2 linked regions of the Ovis aries genome follow. The protein of the gene in region 2 purifies or fractionates together with the protein of the main gene of each other region. This does not show direct contact. Links are inferred from orthologs where the notes say so. Each region holds a gene or a part of one and is shown on either strand. Other genes may lie near its edges.

Region 1 (3,964 bases), on a different chromosome or scaffold from region 2:
TAATATGAACACGGGTACCATGAGAAAGAGAAATTGAATATCCATGTGTAGGCTGAATTAGAAAAGAGAAAATCCTAGGTTTTGGTAGCAACGATAGTGTCCATTTCAGAGGTGGAAATGACAGCCTGAATTAAGATGTAGTGGTTAACATGAAAAAGCTGCTTTGCCAGGGCGAAGAGCTGGGCAGTTTGGTGCAGGAATTAAGACCCTTTGGGGAGTATTTAATTGAGGGAAGTGGCATGCAGGCATAGGTTTACTGATGGATTAATTTGGCAGTGGTAAACAGGATTGGACAGCTGGTAAGACTGAAAGTAGACAACTAATTTGTTGTAACTGCTGTTTGCAAATGCTCAAGTGAGGAAAACGTGAAACAGTTTCTCATAAGCATTCCTTGGTAACTTTCCACTGTCTTTTTCAGAATGGTGCTTCCTGATTCTGGACACCTGGTCCCAAGAAGTGCCAGGACATTCGAGGGCAGCCATCTGGGTTAAGACTCCCCAGCTAGCATTCACCCTGCACTGATCTAGACTGGCATTCTACACAGCCCCTTCCTCCCATCCACCTCCAATTACACTACTTTCATTTGCTGGCCTTCAACTCTCTCTTTCTCCTTGGGTGAAGTAGAATGTTTGGATGCTGTCAGAGTTATACACTATTCGTAGGTGTTTTCATTTTCATTTTCCTATTCCCACCAAATCTGACAAAACAGGTGTACTACTGGTCCAGGAGTGAGAACTTGGTTTTAAACTTGAGTTGTATGGTCCTGGGCATATCATTTTGAAAACAGGGACTATCAGTTAGATTAATGATAGTTAATTTGGGGAAACTATCAAAATTTTGGACCCCCTTTCTCTAGAAATTCACAGCTGCACATATAAAACCTACACACTTCAGGAGATTCATAAACCCCCTTCAAGCTCATCTATAAATTCTTCAAGACAGTGTTCTTAAAATATGTGTCCCATGACCCAGTGGTTAAGACTGTGCTTCCACTGCAGGGGACACATGTTTGACCCCTGGTAGGAGTAGTTTCACATGCTGCTTGGCATACCCAAAACAAAACTGTGTACCAGGATCATCTGAAGTGCTTGTTAAAAATGCAGTCCCAAACCCATCCCAAGAGACTTTGATTCACTATATCTGGGGCGTAGACCCAGATATTTACATTTCTCACAACATTTTCCAGGTGATTCTGATGCAGGTGGCCCAAGCTGCAACAATATATCTATAGAAATAAAGTACTTAAGGCATCCTTGCATCTCAAGTTAAAAACTGTGAAACAGGTGCTCACTGAACTTTAGATCTAAAGTTCTGCCTCTGTCTTTGTGGGTCTGTACCAAGATAGGGGTAACAAAAATTAACTTCCAGGTCTTAAGTCTGAACTGTTGGAGCTACCACCACAAACAAAAATATCTGAATTGTCCCATTAGAGTAGGACAATGTTTGTTTCAAAAGAGGAAGAGAAAGTTTGAGGTCTATTTACAATTTGCTAGTTACTAAATGTTTACAGAGTCAAAATAAAGTAAAATCCCAAATCTGGAATCTACAACTTTCTGAAGAAATGTAAGAATCTCTGTGAATCTGAGAGCTGAATCTCTGTGAGCTGAAACTCTATTAAAAATAATCAAAGATACCACACACAGCAATAGGTTTAGAAGTGTTTACAACATAACAGGCTAAGAAAATTATAGCACAACAATTTTAACTACCCTACAGCTCTATAGACTCATGAATCCCAGTGTGTCGACTGCTGTAACGTACCTCTACTAATATAGAAGGGCTTCCCTAGAGGCTCTGACGGTAAAGAATCTGCCTGCAATGTAGGAGACTCAGGTTCCATCCCTGGGTCAGGAAGATCCCTTGGAGAAGGGAATGGCTACCCACTCCAGTGTTCTTGTCTGGAGAATCCCATGGACAGAGGAGCTTGGTGGGCTACAGACAGTCCATAGGGTCGCAAAGAGGCAGACACGACTGAGCGACTAACACTTTCACTAATATAGAAGCCAAGAAGATGAACACGGTTAAGGTAGGTTTTATTAAGCACCCACAACTTCCGTGGCACTTTGCATAAGGCACTTAATTCTTTATGAAGGAAGTATCATTTCCACTGCAGAAATTAAGAAAGTGGTACCCCCCAAAGATTCACAGCTCGTTTAGCGGGGTCTGAGTAAAACTGGTCTCCTAACCTGATCGTTGCCATTATTAGGAGGATTTCCCGAAGCCTTTCTACTGATCAGCTAACCCCATCCACTTGTGTTAGTTTCTACACGCTTCCTTCCAAGTCCTATTAACCATCCCAGAGATGGAATGCATTTCTCCAGTAGAGCCACTAGTCCTCGGCTCTGGCCTCAACCTCCCCTGCCAGGGCTCCAGAACAGGGGAGGATGGAAGAGGGCGCGCCTTGCCCGGATGTGAAGTCTCAGAGCACTGCCCTCGGGTCGCCCCGGAACAGAGCAGTGGAGCAGAAACCCGGCTCCCTCCTCACCCCTCCGAGGGGATGGCCTTCAGAGCGCTCGAAAAGACGAAACCAGGCTGCAGCGAGCGCTCGAGGCCAGGCCTACCCTGGGTCTCAGGAGGCAACGAGTAAAATCTACTACAGAGATCCTGCACCTTGCAGGTCCCCGCCGCAGCCCGCAACCAGAGGCCCGGCGTGACCGCGGGGCGGGAGAGGAAGCGACAGCGCTGTTTACCTCCTCTGGCTGGGGCCTGGCCGCTTCCGGCCTTTCCGGGTCTCCCATCGCGCAGACTCCGCCAGAGCTACCGGAGCAGAGGGAACCGAGCGCCTCGGGCCACTCCAACTGGGACAGGACCAGGTGGCCGGCGGGTGCTCTGAGTAGGCCCCGCCCCCTGGCGCAGGGACCGCTCCTACTCCGGCCGGTCCCGCCCCGCTCCTCGGCGCACGCCGATCCCCGCTTTCTCGCCTGCCCATTCAGGACCTGGCCCGACTCGGGCCTGGCCCCGCCTCCCCACTCACACTGGGACGCGCCCACTCCGACTGCCGGCCCCACTCCTCCGCGCCGACCCCACCTCCCGCCGCAGCAGGAGTAACAGAGTCTCGTCAAACTTGGCCCAGCGCCACTGCGCGGGCACCGCCTTCCGCCTTCTCAGTGAAGGTCGCTCCTTGAGCCTGCCAAACCCCGCCCACTGCACCTCGGGCCCCGCCTCCTCCGCTAGGTCCCGCCTCTCCAGCCGGCCCCGCCTCCCCTCCCGGTCCGCTGCCTTTGGCCCCTCCCGCGTCGCCGTCTTCTAGCCTCTCAGTGCGGGAGGTCCCCGGACCTCTTACTATCGAAACTGTCCAGCTAGTCCTCGCAGTGCGTTAGGAACACGGTGTATGTCGAGCTAAGTCGGCCTAAATTAAAAGGCGCTTGCTCCTTGGAAGAAAAGTTATGACCAACCTAGACAGCATATTAAAAAGCAGAGACATTACTCTGCCTGTCTAGTCAAAGCTACGGTTTTTCCGGTAGTCATATACGGATGTGAGAGTTGGACTATAAAGAAAGCTGAGAGCTGAAGAATTGATGCTTTTGAACTGTGGTGTTGGAGGAGACTCGAGAGTTCCTTGGACTGCAAGGAGATCAAACCAGTTCATCCTAAAGGAAATCAGTCCTGAATATTCATTGAAAGGACTCATGCTGATACTGAAACTCCAATACTTTCCCCACCTGATTTGAAGAACTGACTCATTGGAAAAGTTCCTGATGCTGGGAAAGATTGAAGGCAGGAGAAGATGGGGACCACAGAGGATGAGAGGGTTGGATGGCATCACCGACTCGATGGACGTGAGATTGATGCTCCGGGAGTTGATGAAGGACAGGGAAGCCTGGCGTGCTGCAGTCCATGGGGTCGCAAAAAGTCGGACACGATTGACCGACTGAACTGAACTGAATTCGGCCTGTCCTGAGAGGCTGCGGGTTGGCGGTCGGACCGCACACTGGAGAAGCTAAAGAGGAGAGAGCGAGCTCTT
Region 2 (3,500 bases):
ATGTATCTGCTCCATCACAATAAACTTACTTTCCACTCACTGCACAAAACCTATCCCTGTCTCTCATCTGTCATACTGGCAGTTCTTCCCAAATAGAAAGCTTTTTCATAAACTTCTTTTTAAAATAACCAAATCTATATCCCATTTCCAGCCTTGCCTCTTCTGTGAATGGCCTTAAAGATTTGAGATGAGAATTTTGTCTCACATTCACTGAAAGGACTCTCATGCTTACATACTTTAAACTGAATGCACACTCTAACACATTACTGTGTTTGTCCTAACTCTAACCTAAATAATTATGTATTGCTATTTTTCTCAAGAAAAGATTATTACAACAATGTGTGTGTAAGAAAAAATCGACAGTCTTTCCTATATGGCTCAGACTAAAATATTTTTAAGGGCACACATTACACCTCTTCCTTCCTTTATAATCTATTTCAGTGCCCTTTTGCTTACATAAAGCTATGAACACTCCTTCACTCAACTCAAGGGAAATCAAGCGAGAGATTCACAAACAATTCACAAACTCCTAAGATTCTTCTCTCAGTACCCGAGGCAGAAGTTTTTCTACCTACCTCATCTTTGCTGGTATACTCCACTATTTCTGTGCACAGGTTGCTGCATTTGATGGTTCCCAAGTTCTGCTGGTTGCTCTTCCGATTACAGGAATCTTTGTAGAGCATGTACGGGGTACCTGTCTCTGTCTGAGACTCAATGATGGCATACCAAAGCTGCTGAGCTTTAATAACTTTGCGGACACGACCTTCTTTCTCATACCTGGAAGGCAAAGCTAGTATTATTTTAATATTCCCTAAGAAAATCTTTATTGCAGATAATATGAAGAGAAAATACCAAAATAAAAAATATTGAAAACTTAAATTTTTACTAAGTTTTGCTAAGGGAAAAAAATTAGGAATATGATACACACTTTACTATGGCTAAAGCCAGACCCACTAAATCAATAATACCTTCCATAATAAAAAGGAACAAAGACTGTAGTTAAATAGTGCCATTGTGCTACAGCAGTACTCTGGTGCTATTACTTAATGAACTTCTGACACCCGCATCCCAGTTGCTCTCAATTCCTGTATACAATACAAAAGCATAACTTGCTTTATCAAATGTACTTTATAACAAAGCAAATTAATAACCCTGCTAAATAACTCTGTATTAATTTTTTAGAGGATCTACTAAAATATGATTTAACTTGAACACCTATTTACATGTCCCAAAGATTTTTGTCTGTTTCTTAATAATTATCTTTTGTTATATTAAAAAAGAAATATTTCCAGGGCCTACCTGGTCTGCTCCTGCACAGAAAGAGTTAACTTTCAATATTCGATTATCGGGCTACTGGGATGGCTACTGGGATGCCGGTGGTAAGGAGAGGCAGATTGGGAAGATGGAGAGCGCTTAACAACAGAGAGGGACAAGCCAGTGTGTAACTGGGGCCCTCCCAAACATCCAAAACAGAAAACGGGGAGGGTGCCTGTCAGAGACAGAACCAGTGGTGTCCCAAGGGTTGTCACACTTCTGTTCCCCATGTCTAATGCTCTGGAGTGATCTGTCCTTTCAGACACCTGTGTGAGGTTCCAACGTTAGGATCCATTCTTTCCTCACAGTCCCAGCACATTCAACTCACAACCCAGTTTTTAAGGAGCAGCCCCACCCCAAGTAAGAGGAAAGCTGGAGGTCCTTCCTGAGAGGAGGGTATTCTGAGGATGAGCCACTCCTGGGGTCCCCCTTCAGTCCCTAACCAGACGGTAAATGTGGTGCTGGGCACCCCGTTCACTGGTGAAGACCTCAAAGATGTAGGCGGTGCAGAGCAGCAGTTCCTAGGTGTCTCTGATTGTCACCACCTGGAGGATGGTGAAGCTCTCCAGGATACTGTTCATCGCATGGCGCTCCAGCAGCTGCCGCAGCTCGTGAAAAAATTCACCAGGTGCTTGCACATGGGTGAGTGCAACATGTGGTACACAAACCTCCCATTCTCCATCAGGGCATGTTCCGTCTCCACCTTCTCCACCACCTGCTTGCCAAAGGAGTAGACCTTGAAGAACAGGCGAGGGCCACGTGGTCCAGGCTCTCATACTGGCTGCTCTCTCCACAGAAGCCACTGCTGCCGCTGGCAGCCCCACCTCCTCACCACTTGGGCCCCAAGTCAGGTCCACCCAGAACCTGACCAGGAAGAAAGTGTGGGTGGCCCTACGGTCATACAGCTCCTATAGCCCTTCTTTTCCAGGGAATTTGTCATAGATCTGTCACATGTCCACACTCTCGAGGCAGGGCACTCCAGGATTGGGGCAGCGCAGGCTGATGTGTACAAACAGGTGCTGTGACTGAGCAGTGCCCAGAGCCCAAGCCCACCAGGCTGGGGGTGATGTGGCAGGTGGGGGCAAAGCAAGGGGTAAGAGGGCTTAGGAAGCTCATACCCTGGCAGAGCAGTAGATGGAGGATTCAGTGACAAGGAGAACAGTCACTTTGAGAATGGCTTCACATCTGGAACATTCCAGGAGGGCCCAGAAGCCCCGGCCTAAAATGGAAAGGTTCTGGGGCCTGAGGACTGGTGGGACCCAGTCTGGCCTGCAGGGAAGGTGCTGAGATGAGGTGGACAAAGGACACAGTAGTCATTGTCTGGAAAGCCTTGTCCTTGGAAACCTGGTCCACATTCAGCGCCTTGAGCATCAACTGGATTTCCCCAGATTTCCCTTGGGCCAAAGCCTGGACATGACTAGAGACTGTTTGCAAGTTTAGGTCTTTCATGTTCTCAGTCTGATGTTGCAGGCAATCAGTTTATCACAACCATACAACTTGACTCCATTGAATAGGATTTTCCGCTGGCCACAGGGTAGGTAAGTGGCTGTGGCCTCCTGGAAGCTCTGCTCAATGTCTGTACTCCAGACACCCTCTGCATCTGTCAGGGCCCTCATTGCCCCCCACCCCCTCACTGCCCTCCTCACTTCCTTCCGTACTTCCTGTTCAGCCACTGCCATTGGAGGTGTTCCCCTACCTGGGCATCCTGGCCAGGGGGCTGGGGGTAGGTTTGTCATGAGTAATTTTTTTGGCCATGCCACACAGCATGCTGGATCTTAGTTCCCCAATCAGGGATCAAATCTGTGGCCCCTGCAGTGGTAGAGTGGAGTCTTAACCCCTGGACAGCCAGGGAAGTCCCTCCAAAGTTTTAAGAAAGACAGACCAAAATTTTGGTGAAGATTCAGGAAGAAAACATACTAAAACAAAATTACTAGTCACATTCTCTTCTAGATGCTTCTGAAGAATCCTAGAAACTAGGCTAATGATTGACATAGTTTTGAAATTTACATCCTATAAATAAAAGAAACAAGGTTAAAACATTATTACTTTTGTATTTTTCCCATACCTTTCATATAGCTTCTCAAATTCTTCTCCCCAGACCTCATCCAGACCAGGACACTCATTTGGACACATCAAAGACCAGTCCTGCAAAGGAAGAAGAGTACCAACCATAAGAAACTTCAAAT

Evidence for each region.
Region 1: the proteins of RRM1 (region 2) and RRM2B purify together in Homo sapiens (affinity purification with western blotting; 3 studies listed by BioGRID and IntAct, counting the BioPlex papers as one, with this or other methods). This does not show direct contact. The link is inferred for Ovis aries from reciprocal best matches to the Homo sapiens genes RRM1 and RRM2B.

Annotation. Positions count from the first base shown.
Region 1 is NC_056062.1:75,080,049-75,084,012, reverse strand, and holds the start of RRM2B (ribonucleoside-diphosphate reductase subunit M2 B), read right to left. Parts: upstream 2,801-3,964; 5' UTR 2,739-2,800; coding exon 2,691-2,738; intron 1-2,690.
Region 2 is NC_056068.1:49,759,416-49,762,915, forward strand, and holds part of RRM1 (ribonucleoside-diphosphate reductase large subunit), read right to left. Parts: intron 3,460-3,500; coding exon 3,380-3,459; intron 3,333-3,379; exon of another isoform or gene 1,236-3,332; intron 778-1,235; coding exon 576-777; intron 1-575. UniProt on the Homo sapiens protein: Provides the precursors necessary for DNA synthesis. Catalyzes the biosynthesis of deoxyribonucleotides from the corresponding ribonucleotides.